2 linked regions of the Arabidopsis thaliana genome follow. Each later gene encodes a partner of the first gene's protein in a complex. Each region holds a gene or a part of one and is shown in the gene's direction. Other genes may lie near its edges.

Region 1 (7,847 bases):
CACTATTCTTCCGATCACCGGCGACGTTTTTATCGCCGGCATTGCCTTGTCGGAAGCTGACGAAAGGAATAAGAGGTCTCGAAGGCTTGATGTCTCAGTGTTTATCATCATCGTCACAATCATTGTCATTTTCATCGAATTCATTCTCCTCTCAACCGGAATCAGAGTTACTTCAAGCTTTACCTTCTTCGAAGCCAAAATCTCCGCCACTGCAGCTGCCATGGCTCATTGTTGGTTTGGGTAATCCCGGCAAGAAGTACCAGGGCACGCGCCACAACGTATGTCTCTCTCTTGCTTTCTCACTTTGCATTTTCCTTTTCAGCTCGGTAACGTGATCATGAATTGCAGGTTGGTTTTGAGATGGTGGACGCTTTGGCTGATGCAGAAGGCATCTCCATGAACACTGTTAACTTCAAGGCCTTGTTTGGGAAAGGTTCTCTTTTTCATTCTCTTATCTTCTCCATTGTGAATTTTCATTTTGAAATGGTTTTCTTATCTCAAAGTTTGAAACTTTCAAATTTCATACGTCTCAAATGTTTGATGAGGGTGATAGAAACAATGGCTAACTGTTTCCGGAGAATGAATATTGAAATAAATATCATTTTCTGTCTCTGGTTTGTTTCTAACTTTGGGTATTGTTTTCCTTTATCATAGGCGTTATTGGAAATATACCGATTATGCTGGCTAAACCACAAACTTTCATGAACCTAAGTGGTGAGTCTGTAAGTGAGCTCATCGGAAACAAACTTTGGTTTATTTAGTTAACCAATCTCTTTAACTTTTATCACTTGTTATTTTGATTCTTTCTGTTTATGATTGCTGGAATTCTTTGAAGGTTGGACAAATCGTTTCATTTTACAAGATCCCGTTAAAGCAAGTACTTGTGGTATACTTAACCTTCTCTCTCGCTTACTCTCCAAATTCTGGCTCTAGAGTGCATATGCCGTCTTAATTTTTTTTGTCTTTTTCAGGTTTACGATGATTTAGATTTGCCCTTTGGTAAACTACGTTTATTGCCAAAAGGTGGTCACGGAGGCCACAATGGGTACAATGCTTTTCACTCTCTATCTGGCCTGTTGATGTTTTCATTTGTGTTTTAACTTTTAAGTATTGTCTTACTTTTTACTTAAGAAGCAATGTGGATGGATAATAGTTTGCGGTTTCACTATCAAATCATAGAGAAACTCTACAAGAAAACATGATGGGTTGTTCTTTTACTTGCAGGATGAGAAGTATTATAGACCGCCTCAAAGGTAGCCGTGATTTTCCTCGACTAAGAATAGGTACAGTTCTCATTTTTCTCCACTCCGACATATCTTCCCATTTTCTTCTCTGGTTTTGCAAATTGTCGAATGTTTCATTTCAGGGATCGGACGTCCTCCAGGGAAGATGGATACAGCCAATTTTGTTCTCCGCCAGTTCAATAGACAGGAACAGGAAGAGGTAGAAGCAGATTTATCCCATAATTATCTCAAAAAATTTCAGAAAGACATAACCTGATTGTTTTTGGTTTTGCAGTTGGATCACACATTCCAAACCGGGTTAGAGGCAATAAGGATTCTTTTGCTTGAGGGGTTCAACAAAAGTGCAACATTTGTCAACACTCGAAAATCTATGGAGCAACTCAGTTAGAAGTGACATTGTTACATTACATATATTCATATAACAAACTACAAAGTGTTCTTGCTGATTCATTAATAATTTTTTTTTGGTTCCATACTTGAATCCTTTTTGAGCAAATTGTACATCAAAAGATAACCAGATTATTTGTTTATCATAATTTCTATTATGTAACTCGAAAATATGGATTTCAGTATTTGTTCGGCTGTAATTTAAATTATACACTTTCATTAAGCATAGACATTTTATTTGGCAATAAATCAGCTTCGTTTACTGCAAAAAGGGTGGTCACAAAAGTTGGTTCGGTTTAGAAAAATTGTGTTCGGTTCGGTTAGTTTCTTGAATAATTTAAACCCGACGGATTAAATGAGAGGTTTTGTGGTCCCCACAACTCGAACTCAGTAAAACCAAGTCGACCCGATTCAGCTGGATCCGAGATTACAGAGAACCCCGTCCCGTGTTTAAACCCTCCGGCGACAAAGCTCAGATAGAGAACCGCTCCACCCTTGTCGTTCGCTGCAGCCATGTACGGCGGAGGTGGGTTTCTCTTTAAACCCTTGAATTGCTTTGTCGTTTATCTTTTGAGACATTCCTGAGCTGTTTTTTTCCGTGGTGGGTTTTCACAGATGAAGTGTCAGCTATTGTGGTTGACTTGGGTTCGCACACTTGCAAGGCTGGTTACGCCGGTGAAGATGCTCCCAAGGCCGTTTTCCCTTCCGTAAGTCTTAATTACCAGCATTTTATGTCACTATAAGCTTAATGGTGTTATTGTAGATTTGCTCAAGTCCCTTGTATCTTCAGACTCTTAGTTTTTTTTTTGATGTGTTCATAAGGTTATTGGGGCAGTAGATGGTGTAGAGGCAATGGATGTGGATGTTGATTCTACAAAGACTAATTCGAACTCTGAGGATTCGAAGACCGAGTCTGAAAAGGAAAAGAGCAAACGCAAGCTCTATGTAGGATCTCAAGCCATGAGCTACCGCAGAGATCATATGGAGGTTAGTTTTTCTCCTTGATTAATGTTAAAGTTTATAACTTTGTTGGTGAAATTACAGATTGCATTTTCTCTCACCAGGTTTTGTCACCTATAAAAGATGGCATCGTTTCTGACTGGGATTTGGTGGACAATATATGGGAACATGCTTTCAAGTAAATGTGTAAAGCATTATATTTTCTCTTAATTGTTGTTTGCATTTCATCTCTAAAAAAACTTTGTCTTTTAAGGAGTTGTCTGATGATTGATCCTACGGAGCATCCAATGCTGCTAGCTGAGCCTCCTTTAAACACTCAACAGCAGAGAGAGAAGTATGATTTATCTGCTTTGAAATATCCTTTATTACCACTGTTGCTTTATCTTGGTGTGTTACTGATTTTCTCAAATCATATGCTTGACAGGGCGGCAGAGCTAATGTTTGAAAAGTACAAAGTTCCGGCACTGTTTATGGCTAAGAACCCTGTATATTCCCTCTCCCTTGGGTCATCATTCTTTTTGATAGATTATTATATGACGTTCACTGTAATGTTGATATCCAGTCAGCTCTTGTGTAATCAGATGTCTAACTATCTACATGAATTTGGTGTTTTTGGTGCTAGGTTCTCACGTCTTTTGCTACTGGGCGTGCTACTTCTTTGGTTGTTGACTGGTAAGACTTTAAGTATTAAAAGTTTCTCTAGTATGTAGAAGCTACTAATGTTCCACTTCTGCTCTATATGCTGTGAAAGTCTACCTTGTTCTGTATGGTGTATAATTTGAGAAGCACTGATGACACTTTATTGTATTTCTAGCGGTGGAGGATCCACAACCATTTCACCGGTGCATGATGGTTATGTTCTTCAGAAGGTACTTGTATTACACGATTTAGTAAGAATTCAGCTTTGTGATGCTGTTTCTTTGGGTTTGGATTTTGTACTGCAGGAGAAAGTTTCCCATCTCTCGTTTCCATAGTCATCTGTAGCTGCTATAAATTCTCATCCATGTGAATTATGACCTACAGCATTGATGTAGATTGTGATTCTCCGATTGTTGACCATACTTTTATTCGCAGGCTGTTGTATCGTCTCCACTTGGAGGGGAATTTCTCACTGACTGCCTACTGAAAAGCTTGGAGAGTAAAGGAATTAAAGTAGGTTAAAAAAATTCTTCACTGTTCTTTTCTTTTAAGCCAAATTATCTGAGTGATACTGGTTATTTTTTCTGCAGATAAGACCTAGATACTCTTTCAAGAGGAAGGAAGTACGAGCAGGGGAATTCCAGGTGCATATGTGGATCAGTGAATGAAACTACTAGCAGTGAATAGTCTCTAATTTCCTCCCTTTGAATCCTTGCAGGTTGAAGATGTGGATATTCCTGACACCACGGAAAGCTACAAACTCTTCTGCCAGGTCTGTAATTGATTATGAAACTTCGTTTGAAAATTTCAGTTGTGATAATTTGGTGATTTGTTTCAACAGAGGATGATAGTGGGTGATATCAAGGATTCCATTTGTCGAGTTCCTGATACTCCCTATGACGGTACCTTATGTTATTCTGTCTGTCTCTGGTTTCATAAATTTGTTTTATTTCAAAGTTTAAAGTTGCTTGAGAGTTGAACGTTAGATACTTTTTATCTTTCAATGTCATTTGATCGCATAGCCTTAGTTTTTCTGATGTGATGCATTTATCTGCAGATAAATCATATTCAAACATCCCTACTACGTCGTACGAGCTTCCTGATGGCCAGTAAGCTCAGTTTATATGTCTATTTCGGTTTATTTGTGCCTCAAATGTACATGCTACTGTTGCTTTTGTTTTCTACGTATAAGGTTTGAGCTTAGTTTCTAGCCAAATGTACCACTGCTCTGAACCTTGTTTAAGCTGAGATAAGTGCTTAGTTGGATCTGAGTCATTAAAGCCATTGGGCATAAAAGTTTAGAAGAGTCAGACATTGCTTTGGAAACCTGCATGGAACCTAATGTTCATAATGAGAATTAAGTTAAAAGAAAAAGTGCTAGCTTCATTGAAGACAGGAAGCTGCACCTGTAATTTTTGTAGTCTTTCTCAATATCTTATTAACCATGTCTGTTGAAGGACGCTCGAGATTGGTGCTGATAGGTTCAAAGTTCCTGATGTGATGTTCAACCCGTCCATAGTCCAGGTACACCATTTGAGCACGATAAATTCAACAGAAGATTCTGAAGACATTTTGTTTCTTATCTTGAGCGTTTTGAGCCTCGAATTATTTATCAAAGGTTTCTTCTCCGTTTTTATTGCAATTTGCAGACGATTCCTGGAATGGAGAAGTATGCTGAGATGATTCCTTCCGTTCGTGGGTTACCACACATGGTATATGCATGGTATTTAGTCATTGCAAAGCTTCCATCTCTTAACTTTTTCTAACTTTACTCTCCATTTTACTGACTTGTACAGGTCATGGAGAGCATCAACAAATGTGATGTAGACATCCGGAGAGAGTTGTATAGTAGCATACTGGTAAAATAGCAATCAATGCCAACTCTTAAATACCCCTACTTTTAGTTTCGTTGGATGTGGATGATTAACATTTCCTTTCTTCTCGCATTATGCCAGCTTGCTGGTGGCACATCGTCAATGCAACAGCTGAAAGAACGTCTCGAAAAGGACTTGATCGAAGTATTGTGTCCTAAACTCTTTTCCTCTGTCTTTAAAGCTATCCCAGTTTTTATGATGGCGAAAATCATTCATTGGTCCCTCTATCTTTGTTTCAGGAGTCTCCTCACTCAGCTAGAGTTAAAGTGTTGGCAAGCGGTAACACAACAGAAAGAAGATTCAGGTCTGGATTTAGTGTTCACTTCTTCCTCTATAATGAGACCCAAATTTTTTTGCTTGGATCAACCAACAAACATGTTATGTATGTGCAGTGTATGGATAGGAGGGAGTATATTGGCATCACTAGGCTCATTTCAACAGATGTGGTTCTCCAAGTCTGAGTAAGTCTCTGTTCTGATTTTCCATTAATCAGACTCGCAAAGAAACTATAGTTTGTTTTCTCTCCTGACACTCGGATTTGGGGTCTTGGTGTAAATGGCAGGTATGAGGAACATGGAGCTTCCTACATTCAGAGAAAATGCCCTTAAAGCAGGCAGTTTCAGATTATGTGGAGTCTGACAAGACGAAACTTGGAAACTAATGTGTTATTTTCATTGTGCATCGTTGTTCCTTGAAGATTATTAGTATTCCGCCTGAACCTTTTAGAATGAGTGTCATTAACAAGCATTATAGTGCTATTTTAAAAACATAAAAACATGTGGAAGAAGTTTCGTTGCTTTATTAGATTTTCGCACAATCAAGACCGTCCACGTTTTGTTACTACGAACCAAGATAATCCACAAAATTAACAAGAAAATAACAAATCCGAAACTACAAAAAGCAGCTTCATAAGTTTTCTTTTTCTTTTTTAAAAAAGAAGAAAAAATCAGCTTTATCGTGCCTCTCAAAAAGCTAATGACTTCGAAGTTCCAAAATTCCGGTCTTCGAACATATTTTATAGAATAGCAAAATGTTTTGAACCACAAGATTATTAATAATATAAATAATGTAATTGATATTGGTAAGTAATAATACTTTTATTAATCATAAAATGGTCTGAATAATAATAAAGACAAAATGGACGTAACTTCTCCGCCACTACAGACTTACGTGTCATGTCTCCATATCCGCATGCAAAATCCAATAGATGACACATTCTAAATCATCCAATTATATACGCCCACGTGTCAACCTCTGTCTCGTCTCTCTAAATAACGTTTACCGACCTTCTCTTGTGGACGGTAAGAATCGCCGGCGTCCCCTAATATATCGGATTTCAATCCAAAGACACACTCACAATTTAAAAAAAAACGTTTCTTTTCTCTTCGATTCCCGATTACGGCTTTTGATTTTGTGGGACTCTTCTCAGTTTTTCTGGGCTTTTGGTTTTTGGATTCTATCTTCTTTCATTTTTCAGATTTTTTATTTTATTTTGTTGTATTTCTATATTGGGAAACAAAATCATGCAGAGGATCGTCGATAATGCTCTTGCTATCACAAAAGAGTGAGTCCCTCTCTCTTTTCGATTTCACCATTAGTCTGTGCACGCTTATTGATTTTGTGATTTCTGATTTGTTTTTTTAGTTGCATGTTTAGTGGTTTTAGTAATTTGATATGTGATTTCAACTGTTTTGTTTCCTTAATTTGGATTTTAATTCGATTAGATTTTCTCAAATAGTAATTCGATTTGCTTTAGATATGGAAGTTGCCAAATTTTGAGCCAGTGGTTTTATAGTGGAGCTAGGAGCTAAGTCTATATCTTATATCTTCTGATTTACATTAATCTTGAGATTTAGTGGTATATAGTTTTACTAATTTGGGGATACATTTCTGATTTACCATTTTTAGTTAGTTGTTGAAGGTTTGTTGTCTCTTTGAAGAAAGTATACATATTGACTCTTTGTCCTGTAATAATTACAGCGATTCTCGTTGTATCTGCGGATAGTTTTCTTTGTTTAATGCTTGTCTGTTTGGGTTTTTGGTGTTCGTTGTGGGTTTTTGATTGGTATTAGGATTGTTTGTGTTAGTCTAAAATAGTTTTAAGCTAACTAATGATTTTGGTTTTTAGTGCAGGTCAGTGAAAACTCTGACTTATGAGTCTTTGAACAACATTGCAAGATGCATTAATGGATTTTCTGCGCTTCTCTTGACACTTTTGCCCGGAAAGTCCAATGTTCTTGAAGGTCTTCATGGATGGGAGCTTAGGCCTACATTGCGTGGACCTCGTTTACCACGCTGGATGCATAAGTAAAACTCTCTTCAACTCTCTAATACTTCTTTGTGGTTACCTTATAGCAGCTTATTCGACTCTCTTTTGATTTCTGTGGTTTTGCAGTGGAGTCTCTTCTTTCAACCACTTCATTCACGAACTCTCTGTGGATTCTGATACTTCTAGCTTGGACTATTCCTCTGGTGATGATGATAGTGATGGCATGTCCACGCCTCCATCACCCTTGTCTCAAAGCTCACTCCGCTCTTGGGCTAGTCTTCCTGCCAATTACGAAAGCCATTGGACAGACTGGATAACCTTCATTGTCTGGTGGGCTTTACTACCTGCCCGGATCCTTCTATGGGTACCATTATATCTTTTACGTCTTTTAGCTAGAAGAAATTCAAGAATGCAGCCTCTGAGCCCAGGAAGGTACCAACATTCGTCTAGACCTTGTTTTAGCAAAGCTATCTC
Region 2 (6,726 bases), on another chromosome or scaffold:
CCTTTTGTTCTTTCTTACATCACATCTTAATATATGTAGGCACAGAGAAACACACACATTATCGGAACCAAAGCAAAAAAAATAAACCTTAGAAGAGAGTTCCTCATGGCATCGGAATTTCGTCCTCCTCTTCATTTTGTTCTCTTCCCTTTCATGGCTCAAGGCCACATGATCCCAATGGTAGATATTGCAAGGCTCCTGGCTCAGCGCGGGGTGACTATAACCATTGTCACTACACCTCAAAACGCAGGCCGGTTCAAGAACGTTCTTAGCCGGGCTATCCAATCCGGCTTGCCCATCAATCTCGTGCAAGTAAAGTTTCCATCTCAAGAATCGGGTTCACCGGAAGGACAGGAGAATTTGGACTTGCTCGATTCATTGGGGGCTTCATTAACCTTCTTCAAAGCATTTAGCCTGCTCGAGGAACCAGTCGAGAAGCTCTTGAAAGAGATTCAACCTAGGCCAAACTGCATAATCGCTGACATGTGTTTGCCTTATACAAACAGAATTGCCAAGAATCTTGGTATACCAAAAATCATCTTTCATGGCATGTGTTGCTTCAATCTTCTTTGTACGCACATAATGCACCAAAACCACGAGTTCTTGGAAACTATAGAGTCTGACAAGGAATACTTCCCCATTCCTAATTTCCCTGACAGAGTTGAGTTCACAAAATCTCAGCTTCCAATGGTATTAGTTGCTGGAGATTGGAAAGACTTCCTTGACGGAATGACAGAAGGGGATAACACTTCTTATGGTGTGATTGTTAACACGTTTGAAGAGCTCGAGCCAGCTTATGTTAGAGACTACAAGAAGGTTAAAGCGGGTAAGATATGGAGCATCGGACCGGTTTCCTTGTGCAACAAGTTAGGAGAAGACCAAGCTGAGAGGGGAAACAAGGCGGACATTGATCAAGACGAGTGTATTAAATGGCTTGATTCTAAAGAAGAAGGGTCGGTGCTATATGTTTGCCTTGGAAGTATATGCAATCTTCCTCTGTCTCAGCTCAAAGAGCTCGGCTTAGGCCTCGAGGAATCCCAAAGACCTTTCATTTGGGTCATAAGAGGTTGGGAGAAGTATAACGAGTTACTTGAATGGATCTCAGAGAGCGGTTATAAGGAAAGAATCAAAGAAAGAGGCCTTCTCATAACAGGATGGTCGCCTCAAATGCTTATCCTTACACATCCTGCCGTTGGAGGATTCTTGACACATTGTGGATGGAACTCTACTCTTGAAGGAATCACTTCAGGCGTTCCATTACTCACGTGGCCACTGTTTGGAGACCAATTCTGCAATGAGAAATTGGCGGTGCAGATACTAAAAGCCGGTGTGAGAGCTGGGGTTGAAGAGTCCATGAGATGGGGAGAAGAGGAGAAAATAGGAGTACTGGTGGATAAAGAAGGAGTAAAGAAGGCAGTGGAGGAATTGATGGGTGATAGTAATGATGCTAAGGAGAGAAGAAAAAGAGTGAAAGAGCTTGGAGAATTAGCTCACAAGGCTGTGGAAGAAGGAGGCTCTTCTCATTCCAACATCACATTCTTGCTACAAGACATAATGCAATTAGAACAACCCAAGAAATGATTGTAACTTTTCTTAGATTGTAACTTTTCTTTTGTATTACCCAAAAAAAATGATTGTGACGTTTGTTCTCGATTACTTCTCTTTGTTCAAGAACAATTTATGATAGTTTTATTTGAAATTGTCTCTATTATCGAATCTTATACTAACATCTTAGTTAGTACATACTTATTAAGCATTCGAATTCGTACACTCAAATTGAAGAAAAAAACACAATTTCTTATATACTTTTTTTTTTTCTGTAGCTTTAGAAGAGTGTAGAAACCTTCTCCAGTGGTCCTGCATGAGATCGCAACTTCGATATTGCTTGCTCCTTGGAGTTTAGAGGAGTGTAGAAACACTTTTTGTTTGTTTACTTTTGCTTTCTCGATCATGACAAGTTGACAACTCGTGTTATATCCAAAATGACATCATGCATGACTTGAAAATTGAAATCTATCTATGATATTACCATTTCTGGACAATTTTGTTAACCGATTTATATATCTTAACATCTTTCTTTTTTGGTATTATTTACGTTACGATTTTTCATCGTAAATTTAATTTAAAATTTTATATATGCCAGTGTAAAAAGAAATTACTCAAGGTCATTAATAAAAATAAAAATAAAACGTTTTTCCCCAGCGGTCTATCATTGTAAGTTTTATTTTACAAAAAGAATCTTCTAATATAATATGGGCTTTGAAAATGTCTAAGTGGAAGGCCCATTAATATCTCAAGTCCAATAACAATGGTGTACGAACCAGCGGCACCGTGTGTGAAAGAGTGAATCAAAGAGGTGCGGCGGTCGCCGGCGAAGACGTGTGCTCGTCGAAGAAACTTCTCCAACCTAAAATTTTCCGAAGGTAACTCCTCGAGCGAGATTTTAAGCTCATCACACAAATTACTTTTCATTCTCGCTTTCATGGGCTCTTCTTCGATTACTGTGTACATCACTCAAATTTTGGGTTTTTGTTCCTGTTTCCCTCTCGATATAATCGTAAAGTCTTGAAATTGCGAGAAACCCTAATTTGGGGGTTCCTTGCTGATTTGTTAATTTGTGTGTTATGACATTTTCGTTTAAATTTGTGAACTTGTAGAAGTAAGAGTTGAGCAAGTTATCAATGGAAATCGATGAAGAAGAGCCAATGGTGTTCTTGGACCGTACAACAAGAGCAACACGGGGTAAACGGTAAGAATTACTTGAGCTTAAGCTTTTACCTGATGAATGTGTTTCACCTGAAGATTGTGGTTTTGTCTCACTGTTATTGAGATGTATCAGAAACTCTCTTGTGGAAGCTTTATTCATCAGTTTTCTGTTTTTTTTCAGGATGACCAAGTTGCTTGATGACGAAGTAGAAGAAGATGAACAGTTTTGGAATCAAGAAGCTCTTAAAGAGGTTTGTTTTGTTTTATATATAGCTTACTCTCTTAAAGAGATGTTAATGATTTGTTAAGGTAGACTAGATGTCAAAATATATAATGGAAAAAAATCAGATTTGTAGACAAGATACTATCGCAGAAACTTTCGTGTGTTTGCTGACATTTATGTATCTCTTTACTTTTGTTATCTGCAGGAAGAACATGATGATGAATATGAAGCAGAACGTGAGGTTGCTGATGAGTTTGACAGTGACTTCAATGACGATGTATTTATGTCTTGCTTATGTATTGAGTACTTATTCATCAAGGTTTTTGCTTATATTTCCATTCTTTTTAATTTCTTTCTTTTGCCTTTTGTTTGGGATTAGGAGCCTGAGCCTGATGCAGTCGCTGTAAATGAAAAAGAATTGAGGTTTGAATTTTTTCAAAGCTTGTCTTATGATGGCTATTATGTGTGTCTGTTTTAATTTTGTTACAATTTTGCATATTGTTGTAGGGATCTGCCAAAGAAGCGGCTGATTTACCCTGGGAAAACTGCTTCAAAGAAAAAGAAAAAGAAGACGAAGGTAGTTTCACAACTAGAATATATTCCTGGAGATGAGAAGCCAGGTGAAGAATTGGGAAACAAGGAACAAGAAGAAAAAGAAGAGAATGAAGCACAAGAAGATATGGAAGGTGAGAAAGTCATTAGGAAATCAACACGGACTTCAGTGGTTGTACGGCAAGCAGAAAGAGATGCATTGCGTGCTGCTATACAAGCAACAACAAAGGTTTCTCAGAACTCATCCCCACTAGCTATTTACATTCATGGCTACACTTTAATCTCTTTTCTAAGTCTTGCCATGTTGAATTCTTTTTTGTGTTTGTTCAGCCAATACAAAGGAAAAAAGTAGGGGAGGAAAAACGGATGACCCAAGAAGAAATGCTGCTGGAAGCTGCTCAAACAGGTTTGGCTTTTATGATGCTGCATCTGATTTGCTCTATCAGAAACTCAAAATTGCTAAAGTCAGGTTCTTGCAGAAATCATGAACTTGAGGAATTTAGAACGTGTCTTGGCAAGGGAAGAAGAAGTAAAAAAGAAAGCGATTGTGCATAAAGCAGTCTACAAGGGTCCTCAGATTCGGTATCATTCAAAAGATGGTAAGCTCTCCAGTAAAATAGTAATCCAGTCTAATTGGATCTTTCCAGAAAAGTAAGAACTATATTTGTTTAAACTTTTAACTTTACATGCAGGATGTAACTATTTAGAATTCTGTAATGGTGCGTCATTCAATTCAGAGTTGTCGACGAAGTCTGTTCCCTGTAAGTAATTTTGAGTGGTGTTTGGAGATGAACATAAATGTGTTCATATTGATCTATACTGATCTCTGTCTTTCTTTTGGTTTGTTTTCTCTTTTCCAGATCCAGAAAAAGCTGTATGTGTGATTACGGGATTACCTGCCAAGTAAGAGTTTTTCTGTTCTTCTTCTTTATTCATCGGAAGAACAAGATCTCTGGGATGAACACAAGTAGACTCTCTTAGGTCTACTAAAAAGAAGTTATCAGTTTCTTTGATATATACTTCTCGAAAAGAAATGATGTTATAACCTAGAAACCTGATTATCTTTTCTCTGCAATTTTAGAACTAGTTCTTAGCTGTTGTGTGTATTGCTGATACAGGTACCGGGATCCAAAAACGGGTCTTCCTTATGCAACTAGAGACGCCTTCAAAGCAATACGTGAAAGGTGTTGCTTGATCCAATTATTGCTGCATCGATGTTTTCACTTGTCTATAGAAGTATTCATCTGTTGTTTCCTCTAACGGATCAAGCAAATGAATGTTATCGAGTGAAACAGGCCTTTGATATTTACATTGTCTTTATTAGTGTTAGAATCTGATATTTCCCAGTCTTATGTTTATTGTTCTGAAGGTTCATGGACGAACATGATGGTTTGAGAAAGAAAATGGAGATGGGAGATTTGTTTGATACACTAGTGGCGAAAGGTTTTGCAACAAAACAAAAGAGAACGAAGATTCCAAAGAGTAACAAATCATTTTCCCTCAGAAGCTCAGCTCGTTTCCTTAGCTCCGAGTCTGAAGAAGAGAGTGAAGAAGATTCAGATTAATAAACACCTCCCTGATTTGGTTAGTATATTAATATAAAGCCTTTAGTTTTCATGAAACATGATCATGAACTCACAGTTGTAATCATGCTCTGCAGAATCTGCATCTCACATGATTGTGATACATCATTCATGGATCTTCCCACGACCATGGTTTTGGTTCTCAGAGATTAGAAGCGAGAAGAACATTCATGGAGGAAATTTTCATGATCAGAGCTTTGAAATGGAAACAACAACACTCTAATCAGAGATTGATCCTCCTAACCAAAACCTCTGACACCCATCTCAGAATCAGAGAGAAAGTGTAATCTTCTGTATATTACTGACCTTGTAAAGATGATATGTTTTGGTTGATAAATATCAATTTCACATTAAACCGAACCGAATAAGCTTTTGATTTTACTTCGGTTCCGTTAAAACCGTTCCAAATCTATAAATATATCACCGATTTGAAAATTGAAACTTTTTGCGATTTCTAAGAGCTCCAATGGCATAATGATTTGGAGTTCAGATTCATGCTTCAAATCCAGGAAACACCAATGTCTTATCTTCCTCAAGCTATGTTCCTCAATTAAACACCTTCTACAGATCCATGGTCAAATCCATCTCTCCTCTCTCCAAAATGACAGCTTTATCATCAGCGAGCTTGTACGGGTTTCATCACTATCCCTCGCCAAAGACCTTGCCTTTGCGCGAACCCTTCTGCTTCACTCTTCAGATTCGACTCCTTCTACTTGGAATATGCTCAGTAGAGGCTATTCTTCAAGTGATTCTCCTGTGGAATCGATTTGGGTTTACTCTGAGATGAAGAGACGAGGAATCAAACCTAATAAGCTCACTTTTCCTTTTCTTCTCAAGGCTTGTGCTTCGTTTTTAGGTCTCACTGCTGGGAGACAGATTCAAGTTGAGGTTTTGAAACATGGGTTTGATTTTGATGTATATGTTGGGAACAATTTGATCCATCTTTATGGTACTTGTAAGAAAACTTCTGATGCCAGGAAGGTGTTCGACGAAATGACTGAGAGAAATGTTGTTTCTTGGAACTCGATTATGACTGCTCTTGTTGAGAATGGTAAGTTAAATTTGGTGTTTGAGTGTTTTTGTGAGATGATTGGTAAGCGGTTTTGTCCAGATGAGACGACAATGGTGGTTTTGCTTTCGGCTTGTGGCGGTAACTTGAGCTTGGGGAAATTGGTGCATTCACAGGTGATGGTAAGAGAGTTAGAGTTAAACTGTAGACTAGGTACTGCACTTGTAGACATGTATGCAAAATCAGGTGGATTAGAGTATGCTAGGTTAGTTTTCGAAAGAATGGTTGACAAAAATGTTTGGACTTGGAGTGCCATGATTGTAGGATTAGCACAATATGGATTTGCAGAAGAAGCCCTTCAACTATTCTCGAAGATGATGAAAGAATCATCGGTGAGACCAAACTACGTAACATTTCTCGGTGTTTTATGCGCTTGTAGCCACACGGGATTGGTGGATGACGGGTACAAATATTTCCACGAAATGGAGAAAATACACAAGATCAAACCAATGATGATTCACTACGGAGCAATGGTAGATATCTTGGGACGTGCAGGTCGACTAAACGAGGCGTATGACTTCATAAAGAAAATGCCTTTTGAGCCTGATGCGGTTGTTTGGAGGACTCTACTCTCCGCTTGTAGTATCCATCAC

The links. Proteins that work in one complex are often made in the same cells at the same time.
Region 2: ARP4 (region 1) and SWC2 share a complex: the UniProt entries of both Arabidopsis thaliana proteins name them as parts of the SWR1 chromatin-remodeling complex.

What each region holds. Positions count from the first base shown.
Region 1 is NC_003070.9:6,346,055-6,353,901, forward strand, and holds ARP4 (actin-related protein 4), read left to right. Parts: upstream 1-1,993; 5' UTR 1,994-2,144; coding exon 2,145-2,157; intron 2,158-2,246; coding exon 2,247-2,338; intron 2,339-2,453; coding exon 2,454-2,618; intron 2,619-2,695; coding exon 2,696-2,769; intron 2,770-2,844; coding exon 2,845-2,925; intron 2,926-3,015; coding exon 3,016-3,076; intron 3,077-3,213; coding exon 3,214-3,263; intron 3,264-3,405; coding exon 3,406-3,460; intron 3,461-3,665; coding exon 3,666-3,743; intron 3,744-3,820; coding exon 3,821-3,874; intron 3,875-3,948; coding exon 3,949-4,002; intron 4,003-4,071; coding exon 4,072-4,132; intron 4,133-4,287; coding exon 4,288-4,339; intron 4,340-4,687; coding exon 4,688-4,754; intron 4,755-4,879; coding exon 4,880-4,942; intron 4,943-5,026; coding exon 5,027-5,089; intron 5,090-5,185; coding exon 5,186-5,248; intron 5,249-5,343; coding exon 5,344-5,408; intron 5,409-5,496; coding exon 5,497-5,565; intron 5,566-5,666; and 3 more. Other genes in the region: AT1G18440 (Peptidyl-tRNA hydrolase family protein), read left to right, coding at 1-278, 349-433, 655-722, 836-886, 972-1,045, 1,225-1,283, 1,367-1,443, 1,519-1,632; AT1G18460 (alpha/beta-Hydrolases superfamily protein), read left to right, coding at 6,628-6,668, 7,238-7,411, 7,500-7,847. UniProt on the Arabidopsis thaliana protein: Involved in several developmental processes including organization of plant organs, flowering time, anther development, flower senescence and fertility, probably by regulating the chromatin structure.
Region 2 is NC_003071.7:15,405,386-15,412,111, reverse strand, and holds SWC2 (DNA binding protein SWC2), read left to right. Parts: upstream 1-2,199; 5' UTR 2,200-2,423; intron 2,424-2,657; 5' UTR 2,658-2,681; coding exon 2,682-2,749; intron 2,750-2,887; coding exon 2,888-2,957; intron 2,958-3,134; coding exon 3,135-3,206; intron 3,207-3,308; coding exon 3,309-3,352; intron 3,353-3,436; coding exon 3,437-3,710; intron 3,711-3,811; coding exon 3,812-3,887; intron 3,888-3,960; coding exon 3,961-4,080; intron 4,081-4,173; coding exon 4,174-4,242; intron 4,243-4,341; coding exon 4,342-4,384; intron 4,385-4,599; coding exon 4,600-4,665; coding exon of another isoform or gene 4,666-4,741; exon of another isoform or gene 4,742-4,850; coding exon 4,851-5,046; 3' UTR 5,047-5,065; intron 5,066-5,141; 3' UTR 5,142-5,490; downstream 5,491-6,726. Other genes in the region: UGT73C1 (UDP-glucosyl transferase 73C1), read left to right, coding at 106-1,581; AT2G36730 (Pentatricopeptide repeat (PPR) superfamily protein), read left to right, coding at 5,539-6,726. UniProt on the Arabidopsis thaliana protein: Component of the SWR1 complex which mediates the ATP-dependent exchange of histone H2A for the H2A variant H2A.F/Z leading to transcriptional regulation of selected genes (e.g. FLC) by chromatin remodeling.